Linked DNA regions of Stegostoma tigrinum. The protein of the gene in region 1 binds, or shares a complex with, the protein of each later gene. Links are inferred from orthologs where the notes say so. Each region holds a gene or a part of one and is shown on either strand. Other genes may lie near its edges.

What was found.
Region 2: the proteins of substance-P receptor-like (region 1) and protachykinin-like are in contact, whole or in part, in a cryo-EM structure (PDB 7P02), measured with the Homo sapiens proteins. The link is inferred for Stegostoma tigrinum from reciprocal best matches to the Homo sapiens genes TACR1 and TAC1. Residues at the interface, in NP_001049.1 of Homo sapiens: Gln24, Phe25, Asn85, Asn89, Tyr92, Ala93, Asn96, Trp98, His108, Asn109, Ile113, Gln165, Met174, Arg177, Val179, Cys180, Met181, Ile182, His197, Val200, Phe264, Phe267, Phe268, Tyr278, Leu279, Ile283, Gln284, Tyr287, Met291; in NP_003173.1 of Homo sapiens: Lys60, Pro61, Gln62, Gln63, Phe64, Phe65, Gly66, Leu67, Met68.

What each region holds. Positions count from the first base shown.
Region 1 is NC_081393.1:13,701,814-13,709,426, forward strand, and holds the start of substance-P receptor-like, read right to left. Parts: upstream 3,026-7,613; 5' UTR 2,550-3,025; coding exon 2,164-2,549; intron 1-2,163. UniProt on the Homo sapiens protein: This is a receptor for the tachykinin neuropeptide substance P. It is probably associated with G proteins that activate a phosphatidylinositol-calcium second messenger system.
Region 2 is NC_081355.1:82,537,569-82,544,545, forward strand, and holds the start of protachykinin-like, read right to left. Parts: upstream 3,024-6,977; 5' UTR 2,690-3,023; coding exon 2,570-2,689; intron 558-2,569; coding exon 455-557; intron 1-454. UniProt on the Homo sapiens protein: Tachykinins are active peptides which excite neurons, evoke behavioral responses, are potent vasodilators and secretagogues, and contract (directly or indirectly) many smooth muscles.

The sequences.
Region 1 (7,613 bases):
CATGCCTACAATGCCACTTTAAAACTAGTTTATATCTTTGAAAGCTTAAAAGCTCCACCAATGGAGATTTAGGAGTGTTAAGAGGCGAGAGAAGCGCCAAACCGCAATGCTTGTGTGACATTGGTCCTCAGCTGAAAGATGTTGTCCAGTTGTCATCTCTCATAATTGTTTGCTGGCACTCCTACAATCTTTCTGAAAAGCAAGGACATGTCACACTGCCCCATCTTGGAGTTAAATGCTTCGTCTATAAAGAACAGCGTGAAAAAGTCTTGCCCTATGTGTTAAATATGTGTCTAACGACAGAACTCGAAAAGGCCTAACAAACCGTCGCGTCTGTCCAGGCCTTTCCGTTCAAACTTCAAAGAGGATGAAAATAAACGAACAAGCCATACTGAGTCAGTCTGGCAGAATTGTCATCGCAACATGACAAATTTCTATAGATCATAAGCCAAACATAAACCAAATCATAAAACATCTCGCCTGGTGCCTCTACCTCAAGGATGGCGCTGGCAAACAGCGCAGGGGCCAAACCAGTAACAAGTGTGTGAACGTTTTCGAGCGAAATTGCACCGTCCCTCGTTTTAAGATGATTGATTCCAACAACCGAGCATTTATTTTCTTAAAATTAAAGGCATATTTCACAAATTCTCACTCAGCACTGGCACCCTTCTTGTGAAAATGGCTGATAGCATTCTCAGCTCTGACCTGTCCCAAGAGTTGAACCCCAATCTCTGTCCGCTGGACACTGTGCTTCGGCTTTCCTTGTTCTTACGTGTTCAGTGTTTAGAATTGGAGACAAACTTGCTGGCGAGCCTGTGTGCAAATTCGTGTGTGCAAGAGAGAGAAAGAGCCCTGTTTGCCTGTGAGCGGGGAGAAATGGAAGGCTGTTCGTGGGAGACGGCAGGTTGAAACAAAGGATTGAGTCAGGAGCTGTGTCTTGTCTTATCACGAGCTCGGCGCACTGCTGCCCAGCTCTGGGTTAGTGCTAATCGTACCGGAGTCACGGAGAGAGGAAAACGGACAGCGGTGGCGCCTGAGAGCTCTGAGGCACAGTTAGGCTCAGCACTTTATGGGAGACAGCGGATTAGAAGCGGGATGAAATTGCATCTCGGCCACCGGGTGCTTCAGTTCACGGGCTCCGTGCGGCAATGGTTGAAGAGGAGACGCCGAAATTGCTAATTCGCCTCCAACCGATGAGATTCAATAGCGAGACTGCAGCTCCAGGCGAGGAACTTGCGCCTTTCTGAGATAGGAGGCTTGGTCCGGACACTTCAGCAGATAATCACACCGTACCGAACAGGCCGTTTGGCCCATCAAGCCTGCACCATCAAGATCTAAATCGATACGAGCCTCAATTGAGATTAACCTCTCTGCAGCCGGGACCGAGTATGTAGAGAGAGAGAGCTGGATGGCGAGCCACAGGGGTACAGAGAGGCAGAGACAGCGTTAAAAGGTTTCAAGAGAGGAAGACAGCGATGCCAGAGGGCGGGAGAGGCGTAGAAATGTTTCAGAGTCATACAGCACGGAAACAGACCCTTCGGTCCAACCAGTCCACGACGATCATGAGCTTAAGCTGAACTGGTCGCACCTGCCTGCGCTTGACCGCGATCCCTCCAAACATTTCCTACTCATGTACTTATCCCCATGCAACCCCCCGCCCCCCCCATGTCTTTTTTCAATCTTTCTCCTCTCACCTTAAAAATATGCCCCTAGTCTTGAAATCCTCACCGCAGGAAAAAAAAACACCTACTATTCACCTCTGTAGCCAATACTGAGTGGAGCTAGAGAAACACAATAGGTCAGGCAGCATCAGATGAGCAGGAAAGTCGAAAGTCGATGTTTCGGGTTTACACGCTTCATCAGGACTGGGCAAGTACTGTTCCTAGTGCTGATGAAGGGTATATGACGAACATCGACTTTCCTGCTCCTCTGATGCTGCATTACTGTTGTATTCCTCCAGCTCCACATCGTATCGGCTCTGACTCCGATATCTGCGATTCTTGCGATCTCCATTCACCTATCTATACCGCTCAAGGTTTCATAAACCTCTGTAAGGTCACCCCTCAACCTCCTACGCTCCAGTGAGAAAAGTCCCAGCCTCTCCTGAGAACATGATGGCACTATTCCAAAGTGAGCCTTGGGTTAAGGCGGTGAAAAGCTCACCTGTCCAGGGCGATAGCAGTCATTGAGTAGATGCTGGCGAACATGGCAGTAATGGGGAAAAAGTTGTGGAAACGACAGTAGCCGAGGCCGAAGTACCACTCGTTGTGGATGCCGTAGACAAAGTTGATGACCGCATTGAAAGCAGCCACGGAGCACTCGGTGAAAGCCAGGTTGACCAAGAAATAGTTGGTTACTGTCCGCATCCTCTTGTGGGCCAGAATAATCCACATGACCACCAGGTTCCCGCACACTCCCACCGCCACAATAATGGAGTAGGCGAGCGCCCACAGGGCAATCTGCCACTCGGGCTGCAGGAATTTAGTGTCCATTTCCTCGGTCTGGTTCCCTGGCTCAGAGTCATTGCCTTGCCACGCGGTCAGCTCCATGGTGAGAGAGCACTGCAAGTCACCGTTTCTTCCGTCAGATCTTGCTCACTCCAGAAGCTCGCTGCATGTCACAGAGAGACGCTCAGACAGGCAGACACAATGTGGCCCATCTCTTCCCCCACGTTTCCTGGCCGCTTTTAGTCGTCAGCTTGCCGCTGAGGTCACTGAGTGAAACTCTGCAGAGTCATTCTTTTCCCTGAGTCGCAACTCTGCTGATTGTCAGTGTATGTGCGTGAGAGAGAGAGAGAGAGAGGGCGTTATGCCTAGGGCTCCAGCACACACGTGTTGACTCTGGCAGCCTGACAGACAAACACCGGGAAATAACAGAGGCTGGTCTCTTTAAAACACATTTGCACAGGAGACGTCAGTACCTCTGGGAGGGCAGGAACGAGAGGAAGACCACCCTTCATCCCTTGCCGGCTTGCATCTGCCCCACAAATGGCTTCCTAACCCGAAATTCTTCAGAAAGGGAGGCAAGAGAGGAACCTTTTTGGTGATTGCCTTAAAATGCCATTCAGCGAAATGTTTTGTCCTTTTGATGTATAGTCTATGATTAAACAACAAGTGACAGATTTGCATGCTCATTGTAGCTGTATCGCCACCTTCGATCTGAATGATTTATTAATCTCATTCCCAAGAGTGTCCAGTTAAAATGCGTTCAGCACTCAGCAGCTGCCCAGCTTTCTCGGCCAGCTCCTGGTTGCTTTGTTTCAGTTCTCACCGTCAAGTGTTCATATTGCAGCTTTCAATTGCCTCTCAGGGACACAGCTTTAGCATTCAATCCGTTCATGTCCTCCTCTCCGCATTGGGCTCTAAAGAATCCGAAAGAATTCTGCCTGGAGGCGCATTCCTGCAATTAACCAAAAGAGCAGCAAATGGCTCTGGGAGTCGAAACGTGTGCACGAGGGATTGAGAGACGGACAGAGAATGAGTCGTTTAGATGGTGAATTGTTGAACAGACAAGTCTGTATTCATTTATTTAGCTCTCAAAGCGAAGGATGAACACATCCAGTGTAAAGAATGGAATTATTTCACAACTAAATTCCGCCCAATAATTGGCAATATTAAACATTGTGTCGAAAACTAATCAGCCGCTCTGAGCGTTCTGAAGAATCTGGTCCCCTCCTCCTATCCTAGCCCATTCCAGTGTCCCCACAATAAGCTGGCAAAAAAATGTCTACCCTTCACTCGGTGAAAAGATAGCCTGTAATCTGATTCATCTCCTTCCAACTCTTCTAATCGTTTTCTTTGGTTCTTTGGGTAAAGATCTAAAATCATGCCCTGTGCTCATTGTTCAATTATTATGATCCAATTTTCAGAACTTTTCACTCATAGGAATGTGGAATTGTTAACTAGGTCAGCACCTACTGCCCGTCCCTGATTGCCCTGGAGAACGTGGTGGTGCCTACATGAACCAAAGCAGGCAATGCACTGTAGGTAGATCTACAGGGCTCTGAGGGAGGCAATTCTAGGACTTTGATCCAGCAACACTAAAAGAATGCCAATATATTTCCAAGTGAGAATGGTGAGTGGCTTGGAAGGGATGTTGCATGTGATGGTATTCCCACATTTCTGCTGCACTTTGTCCTTCTCAGTGGTTAAGGTTATGAGTTTGGAAGGTGCTGTTGGAGAATCCTTGGTGCACAGTAGTCTATATTAAAGATGGTTTACATTGCTGTACTGAACATCAGTGGTGGAGGAAATGAATGTTGAACGTGACAGGTTGAGTCCTGATCAAGAGGGCTGCTTTATCCTGGATGAATTCAAGCATCTTGAGTGTTGTTGGAGTTGCACCCATCTAGCCAAGTGGAGAGTGTTTCCACACACTTCTTATTTGTGTTTGATAAATGATGGAAGTGGGTATTAAGGAGACAGGAGCTGAATTATTCATTGCAGGATTCCTAACGTCTGAACTGCACATTGTAGCTACAATAGATATACTTCTTGTCAAATTCAGTTACTAGCCAATGGTAACACCAGAATGTTGATAGTGGGGATTTAGTAAAGGTAATGCCATTGAACAGCAAGGGGCATTGGTTATATTCTCTTTTGTTGGAGATTGACATTATCTGGCACTTGACTTATGCAATATTATTTGTCACTTATCAGTCTAGGTCTTGCTACATATAGCTGCTTCAGTATCTGAGGAGTTACAAATGGTGCTGAGCATTGTGCAATCATGAGCGGACATCCCCACTTCTGACTGTATGAAGGAGAGGAAGTCATTGATGAAGCAACCAAAGATGCTTGGGCCGAGGTTATTACCCTGAAGGACACCAGTAGAGGCATCCCTGAGCCGGGAAGACTGATGTGCAACAGCCGCACTCATCACCCATTGCATAATGCATGACTCCAAACCACAGAGTGGACTCCCCTATTGGCTTCAATTTTGCTCAGGCTCCTTGATGCCATGCTTGGTCAAATGCAGCCTGATGTCAAGGACATTAACTCTCACCTCACCTTTGTAGTTCAGTTCTTATTGTCAAGTTTAGACCAAAATCACAATGGCTTTAAGACATGTTTATGTACCATATAAATTTCCTCCAAACTTCCCTCCATTGATCAGAACCTGAACTCAGCCAACCCCAACAATATTGTGGTTCTGAGTTACCCTGAAGAGAAGAGGCCATCACACTTGAATGGAGTGCGATGATTCCAATGGTCAAAACCCAATGAAAATAAACCTTCTTGTGATGACTGGCTATCCAGGCAAGATGAACAACCAATTACTCATCCATCATTTGGGTCATCCCCAGGTATGCTACAAATATACACTGGCCATGTTTCTTGGTAATTGTCAAATTGTCAATCAGTTTAAAAAGAACCTCTAGGTTGTTAGACCCTTACATGACCTCAGGATGTTACAACCCACCATGTAGCCAACTAACTATATTTATTGAAGTGTCATTGATGTTATAGTGTAGGAAACCTGGCAGCCATTTTTTGCTTGGCATGCTCCCACATTCAGCAATGTGATAATGACAATGTAATCTGTTATTAGGTGAAAATTGAGGAATAAATATGGGGATGAACACCCTTCCACTTCCTTGAAATAGCATCAAGGAATCTTTTGTGTTCACACTCAAGAATAGATATGGTCTGATGCCAAAGGCAGTACCACTGACTCCAAAGTTTTCAGAAATTTCACATATTTTGTTAATTTCAGGATTGAAAGTCCAAAAGAAATTGTGTCTCATAAAATTTGTGGTTTTTCAGTCATCTTTTTCAGAACCCCAGCTGGCGACACTGTTTGACTGGACACATGTCTCTTGTTGTCTTCTGTTAATTGAAGTTCTCCTTGTGAACCAAATTAGCACTACTGACTAATCCTCGCTAGCCACAACCCATGTGTATGATGAGAGACATTCTGAACTCTAATTTGCTTGCCACGATCTGTACATGTGTTTCAGATGGTTCAGTAATGTATGCCAAATTTCTGATTGATTTCTTATAGAAGTGTTAGTCATTCTGACTTCCTACCACCTCCTATTTCATTTTTTTTGCAGCATGCTTGTCTGCATCAATCTTTTACATCTTACTGATGTAAAATGTAGTCATTTATGTGCCCACTTAGATGTACCTAGCTTCATCCCTAAGTAATTAAATAATGTCCCAAATGTCGCACATGAGTTCTGTCTAAGTAGTCTCCAAAATTTCAACGCCCAACAATACCTTTAATTCAGAGAACCATGTGTAACTCCATAACAACTGTTGATACCTTAAACAAATTAAAGCTCAAAACAACCTTTAAAAAAATCATATATATATAAGGCTTGTCATATATTTTAAGTTATGAAACAAACCCATTTGAGACATGGCTGTGTCTTTGAGTAAAAGCTTATAATTTAAAGGATTTTCACTTTAATTAGTCTAAATTTGAATTAGCATGAACTATTTAAACAAAAACACATTATTGTGATTTTGGCCTGTGCTATTTGACTTTTTTCCTTACCAAAAGTAATTTATAGTTATCGTGAGAAGACTGTGACCGGCAATGTGCTGCAAGGATCAATACTGGCTCCATTGTTTTTTGTCATTAATATAAATGATTTGGATGAAATTATAGGAGGTATGGTTAGTGAGTTTGCAGATGAAATCAAAATTGGTGGTGTATTGGACAGTGATGAAGGCCATTTCAGAGGACAACAGGACTTTGATCAGATGGGCCAATGGACCGAGGAGTGGCAGATAGAGTTCATTTTAGATAAATGTGAAGTGTTGTATTTTGATACGGCAAACCAGGGCAGAACATATACAGTTAATGGTAGGCTCCTGGGGAATGTTGCTGAAAAAATAGATGTGGGGTGCAGGTGCATAGTTCCTTGAAAGTGGACTCACATGTAGAAAGGGTAATGAAAAAGGTATTTGGCACATTTGCTTTTAATGGTAAGTGCATTGAGTATAGGAGCTGGAAAATCATGGTGTGGCTGTAGAGGACATTCGTGAGACCACTTTTAGAATACTGTGTATAATATTAAACTTGAGATGGTACATAAAAGATTTCTAAGGAGGTTGCCGAGGCTGGACGGTTTGAATTATAGGGAGATGCTGAATAGACTGGGACTTTTTTTTTCCCTACAGTGTTGGGGCTTAAGGGATCACCATATAGAGGACATGAATAGGTTGAATAGCCAAGGTCTTTTTCCTCAGGTGGGGAGTTCAGAACTAGAGGGCAGGTTTAAGGCCAGATGGAAAAGATTTAAATGGGACCTAAAGGTGGTCCATATATGGAATGAATTGACAGAGGAAGTGATGGAGGCTGGTACAATTATAACATTTAGAGGGCATCTGGATTGGTATATGAATAGGAAGGGTTTACTGAGATGTGGGCCAAATGTTGGCAAATGGGACTAGGTCAGATTGGGGCGTCGGATTGGTGTGGACATGTTGGAACAAAGAGTCTGTTTCTATGCTGTATAGTCTATGACAATGACAATGGTTTGCTCTCTGCTATACCATGGGACCCAGATCCAAACACACAATACCATGGTCAATATGTATGTTTGTTGATTGGACCTGCAATCTTCCTCAGACTCTGCTTTGCCACAAGCTTACCTGACACCC
Region 2 (6,977 bases), on another chromosome or scaffold:
AATAAAGCATGGGATTAAATTTAACAGTGGTCATTTAACACCAGATGTAGCATGTGGAACCAAAGGAAATGTATCTCATTTCTCAACCAGATATTGAGGGAATGGAGTAGTTTGTAAATACGAAACACAACCATAAAACACTGAAACCCTGGAAAGATGAAACAAGATTTGACCCTGCCCGATCTCCGCTAGAATCTTTTCCTGTCCCGGTGAGATCACTGTGCTGTGCATTTCCAGGTTCTTCGTCTGTATAAATACACCTGACTTCTTGCCATTCCTGCTTTGAACGATTTGTTTTTATTTATTTTTAATATATTCCAAGAATTTTGATCTTTGTCATTTGACAATGGGCTCATGTGAAAAGGTGCCCTTGGTTAAGCAGGTGGAATAGATTGACAATACTCTACAAACAAACCAGTTTAGCCAGCAACACTACATTACAAATACACCTTACCGAATGACCGCCTGCCCATTAAGCCAAAGAACTGCTCGGGTCGTGGTTTCCGGGCCACACGCTTCAGGAGCTCCCGAAAGGAATCCGGCTGCAGTCGTTTGTTCTGAAAACAGATCAAAGCAGGGGAGAAAATAATGCACAATTACCCAACTTTTCCTCCGCGATATGGCTCTATCTGTGTCCCAGTCTGTTACTGTTAATGTGGTATGTCAGGAGGCCAGGTTAGTGTGTGTGTTTTTTTAAATGCATTCTCATCACGTTACTTTTCTAAAGATCGCAAAAGACAAATTGAGGCAGCAATCCCGAGCCGAATCTCTGCCGCTGTTTCTTGCAGTTTGTTTCTCCATGTTTTCTCTGCATGGATGTTGCAGTTGGGATGTGACGAGCCGTGTTGCTGAGTTACCAACCCGCTCCGGGCTGGGCTATTTTTTATTCAGCTCAATTTCTGGCACTGCATCGGGCAACAGGTACAGTAAACTCAGCGCACCATTGCTGAAATAAGTTATAATTAGATAGGGGATAATTAGGGTCCAAACTTATATAGGGTACAGCGTATGCATTCACGCTAGCCAGCCACCCCGCGAGAGCTCCACCCATCGAACTGGATGCACGACTTCGCCTTTACTTGGCCAGATACCATGCACAGGCACCAGATTTGTATTGGGAAAAATGTATTCAAACGCTGTAGTTTTACAACTAGCGTTTCCAATTACTGAATAGCAATGTTCACAAATATCTGTTGATTGCTAAATAACGATCCACTGTTGAATATTTATAAATACAAACCTTTCTAATAGCCCGGGCTATCTGCATAATTTAGAATAAAAGGGGTGATTTGAGATGAAATGTCAACTATCGTTAACATAATTGGGAACTAATTGGAACTTAATACTAATCTCCTTTCACGCGCACAGGAATTTGATTCAAAATAAAAAAAAACGGAAGAAATGCAGATGCCGTAAATCAGGAACAAAAACAGAAGTCTGGCAGCCTTTGTGAATGAAAAAAAGTTAACGTTTCAGGTCGTGAGACCATTCCTCAGTTCTGGCAGTTCTGAGGAAGGGCCACCGGACCCGAAACGTTAACTGTGATTTTTTTTCTTCACAAATGTTGCCAGACCTGCTGAGCTTTTCCAGCAACTTCTTTTTTTGTTCAGTAAATTGATTCAATCAGGTTTATATATAATTCAGTTTGATTGCATAGATTTAACTACAGCTCATTTCAGTCAAAAGATGTCTCATTACATTCTCCATTCGTTTGCTGAACCACTCCTGGCAGGGGCCCTCCTATTGCGTTTTCTGTAACTGACAAGTTTTTGTCTATTGAAGAGGATTTATAATGCCATAGCAACTCATTATTGATATCGCAGCATCTGTCTCGCTGTCTAATTAATATTTTCACTTAGTATTCGAAAACTTGAGAATGCAGCAACTCCTCGCCCCCGGGTATATTCAAAGCCGGAGCTGGCTAACTTTGACCTAGAGTCACCGACGATTCTCTAACAGTGAGCTGAGACCTTGTGAGTGACAAGTTTTTAGCCAGAATTATTCTTGTTGTAACTTTCCTCTCTTTCCTCCTGCATTCCACATGCCTCCTGTCAGTGGCGGGAGTCCCACCGAGTGATACGCCAGGAAACATCAGACCGGTCCACAAGCAAAAAAGGTTCCTGGTACCTATTCCAACATGTAACAGCACAGCGCGCTGTGAGGGAGACCAACTGCGGGTTGCCAATTGTTGCTGATTGCGCATTCGGACACTATTGTAACATTTAGTTGTGTCCATAACTGACTTTCCACACCAAAAAAAATCAGCTAGAAACTCATTCATACAGGAAACGTATCTAACTCATCGTCCTCTTATCCATACGTTACTGAACAGATGCCCACTGGTTTTTCACGGCAATACATGCCATTATTTCCGACACATTCCTGAAGATGGGAGTAAGCCATGTGGAACCAAAAAAGTACTTCGATGTTGCCCTATTGGTAATCACTATCGGCCCCTACCCTTTAAGTTTGTGGAATGGCGAGGCACAGGGAAAACGCAAACTGAGTAAAATTAAATTTCAACGCTTATATCATGTAGTTGTAAATTGTACATTAATTGAAACATTACCTGGCCGTGGTCGCTTTCGTCCCATAGAGAAACGCCTTCATTCCGGGAAACCTCTTCGCAAAAGACATCTGTCAAAACCAGGAGGCTGACTGTCACTGCGATCAGCCGGAGAGTTCTCATCCTGGGACAGGGTAGGGCTGTTGACCGCTCAGGCTCTGGCAGTGGGAGCTGCGGAAGACCGTGCGCAGCAAGTGGTCGCTATTGAAGAGGCTGCGCTCTCTCTTTGCCTGTGCTGGAGGATGGATGCTCACTACCTGGTCCAATTCGTGTTTTTCCGCCCGATCCCGGAAATTCCCGAGCTCACTGGCTCCTTTGTTGATCCGCTCCAATTATTTGCCAACTGCACCGGCAGAATCAACTGCTCTTGCTGTATCTTGCAGAGTCGTCTCCCAAGTGGAGTTTGAATGGCTCAGATTCCGGATCTCAAGGCTGGTATGCGAATGAAAATCCCGTTGAATTCCTTGCAATTTATACCCAGCACCAGGGGGGTCATTAGAGCGCAGGTACGTTACAGATCCAAAAATAGCGCTCCAGGAATTCGAAGGTGAATGAATCTTGCCTCCGTTTGACAAATTGAATTAGAAGATCGATATTGAAGTGCAGAAATGTCAAGATGTGTATTCCTGTCCTTTGTTTGCTTCAGTCATTTCCCAGATATGAGCAACGCTGTGAATGAGTGTTCAAACCGACGTCAATACTTAGGTTTAATATATCTTTTTCACCTAATGGCTACCCCGGAGTCAATATTTTGATTCAGTTTTTAATCATTTGTAATCCGATTGTGGAAAGAAAGGACCTTCTCTGAATACAGATAAGATACTTCAAATCGGCTCAAATTGAACAATGCAATTTACTTTAAACTGATAGGAAATGCCCTCAATTTGGTTTGTTCAGACAAAGCTATGCCTTTTGAGGATGTAATTTATTTGGAAGTTAAGCAAAGAAGAACAGTAACTGTAACTTAAATTATTTTTATGTTTTATGGTCAATTAAATGGCTAGAATTTAAGATTAGGAAACCATTTACACATCATCTATCCATACAGGCGCAAATGTCACACATAATTTACATTTATAAGTGAGCGTTTTACTGCAACTGTATTGAATTTATTCAAATCATTTGCCGTGGGAAGTTTTCTCTCTGCAACTATTTCGTAGTTGAGCAAAATGCAAACATCAGTTCAGACCTTAAACTAGGCTATTCCTGCACTTTACGTAAGTATTTTACATGATATTTTAGCCTTTTTGAAGATGATTCTAAAATGTAATATCAGAGGAAATATTTGTAGCAACTTCGCTTCAGCCAACAAATCTGAATATTCGCACTCATTGTCGAAATTTGAAAGGTAAGAAAAAATTACAATGTCAAAGTCAGGTAATGTGTGAGATGCAAGATCTTTAATGGGGGGGTGGGGGGTATTATCCAACGTGATATCCATGGCGTAAATTCCACCAGTTCTTTAGTCATTTCAAGATTTAATTTCCTCTTTATGGTGGAAGGAAAGATAAACAATAAACTCTACACATGTAATTAGTTAATTTATAACAAAATGTATCTGCAAATTCAGAGTAAAACAGAAGCAAATAAATGTTAATTCATGATATTTAGGAACTTTTTTTAAAAATAGAAAAGGTTATTTTTGTGAGAGATAATGGGAACTGCAGATGCTGGAGAATTCCAAGATAAAATGTGAGGCTGGATGAACACAGCAGGCCAAGCAGCATCTCACTGATGAAGGGTCTAGACCGAAACGTCAGCTTTTGTGCTCCTGAGAGGCTGCTTGGCCTGCTGTGTTCATCCAGCCTCACATTTTATCAAGGTTATTTTTGAATCCTTTTACAAAACCAGCAGGACCTTTAAGCCTATTTCAGAACTCTTCAGGCTTATATTTCCGGCTGCACGACTGACTCCATTTCATCTAATAAATCCCACAGTTAAATGTTGACAGTTACCGCTACTTGCATGTACCACATTGGAGTTTTGTCAAGTTTTAGTTAGAAAAATACGAGCAAGGTTTTTCAAAAGAGATCTCAAATCTCGGTTGGTGAGGATTAAAATCGTTCCAAATAACTGCAACATATGTTTGTGCAGCACCTTTCTCACGACATGACATTTCAAAATGCCTCACAAGAAAGCTATGAAACCGAAATTAAAATCCAAGCGATATTAAGAAGTAGGACAAATTACTGAAAACGTCTTTGAAGAGCTAAAGCTTAAAGGTGCAGGAAAAGCCAAAGAGGTTGAGAGAGGAAATTCCAAATTTTAAGAATTGAATAACTCATTGAGAAGTATGAATTGGAAGCAGGCGTAGCCATTCGGGCCATCGAGCTTGTCCTGCCAGTCAAGGAGATCATGTCGAAGATTACACCGAAGGGTTGCAGACGCTGGAGAGGGCGACATGGGATGAGAATATTAAAACCCAGGCTTTGGAATTGGAATCCACGGGAATTCTCAGCCAGCACTCGGTTGAACGCTTGTTATGCTTTAACATGTACTTCCATGGATGCAGTTGAAGGTTTGAGAAGAAAACTGACTTGGAACTCAATGTAGTCATGGAGACTTCAATCTCCTGCAAACAGGCGGATTTATATTCTCAACACTAAGACGTTAATTAAGTAGCATAAGAATTCTCGTAAAGTCAATGCTTAGCAATATTTAACTTCGTCCGTGAGAACCCCTCTGACGTAGATAAGTTTTAAAATGTGCTTTTTCATAACTACCAATCTAAGTACTTATTTCATCTAGTCAGTACATTGGAATTCCCCTACCCAGGGGAGGGATCTGAAGATGTGTGGTTTCAGGAATACACCACTCCCCTGACAACGCTTAAACTGTGTTTTCAGAACAGGAACATCTGCACACTTAAAACCTTTAGAAAAGCGCAGGAGATCCAAAGAGCTTGGGAAGTGTTTTTAGGTCAGCCCTCATTGCTCTGCAATCATAAGGGTAAATCCCGCTATTTCGAACTCTGACCGCGGGAGAGAGAACGGGATTGGGTCTACCCGAACAATAATTTTCCAGCTAGTCTAGCAGCATCTGTAGAGAGAAAGCAGAGCTAACGACTTCGAGTCCGGTGATCCTTGTTTCAGAAAGTCTTCAGGACTTCAGGACGGTAACCAGATTCGACACATTAACTCTGCTTTCTCTCTACAGATGCTACCAGACCTGTTGAGATTCTCCGATAATATCCCTTTGTTTCTGATCCTCAGCATTCGCAGCATTTTTATTTGCATATCATTTTGCACCTTCCCGACAATGTGAATCCTGTAGGCCTGGAGAGCTACAATCTATACCTATACCCTTGTTCACACCAGAGGATATTCACGCCTTTTTGGGGTCATATATCTGTTTTTGTTTAGAATGCGCGCTGAATTCTAGATAAGCTCCAAACTCAGAGGGGCGAACGGGAAAGTATGACTTTGGATTTAGAGCCGACCTGACTATGGGGAGAAGTATCAGATTTGACCACATTCAGCTCTACCACCTCTTCTTCTCGTCCCTACAACTCTTCCATTGTTTCTAAGACTGGCACCCAGTATTGAGAGGGCAGAAATGTCCCCCAACTACGTGTCGAGGCGACTAAAGCCGTTGCCTTCAATCTTGCTGCACACCCCCTTTCCTTAGCTACCAACCTCGCTCTCCCTGACAACGCGGAGCGTAAATGAGACAACTCAGAACCCTGTTGTCAAGTTTGACAGAAATGAGCCTCCAACCACATATCTGTGCCATCAGGAAGATTGTCTATTTCCATTTCTGTGTCATTGTCCGATTTCATCCTTCCCCACTGCATCTGCTACTGAAATCTCCACCCGTGCCTTCATTGCCCCCGGAGAAATACACTCTCAGTCAGTTTCCCACATCCTATTTCCATAAAATTACGGTCATACATATCCGTGCTGTCTAATTCGCGCGAAATCCTGCTCACCCCTTAGACACTACACTGACTGATGCACATTGGCTCCAAGTAAAGCAACTTCTTTTAAAATTCCTCTCAAAATACTGTCACGCCCCATCTCTAATTCCCTCCAGCCCTGCAACTTGTTGAGGTAACCGGATTCTCTCGTTCTGTTCTATTGAAACTCTTCAATTATAATTACTGCCCCAGTATGGCTGTGCCGTCAGCTGTGTGGAGAAACTCTGAACTTCCTTTATGAAACCACTTTTACCTCTGTCTCCTAGAAAGACGCTCCCCATCTCCCTCTTTCACCGAGCTTTAATCATATGCTCCAACCTTAGTCTGTTACACTTGCCAATGTTTGTGCCTGTTTTCATGTAAATGACGGGCCTTTGGACGTTTTAACGTTTTAACGCGAGTATAAATAAACAATTGTTCTTTCTCTTTCTCCAAATGCCGCCAGACATGCTGAGTTTTGCCTGCTAGGCACATTCTTCAGCATCCTCAGTATTT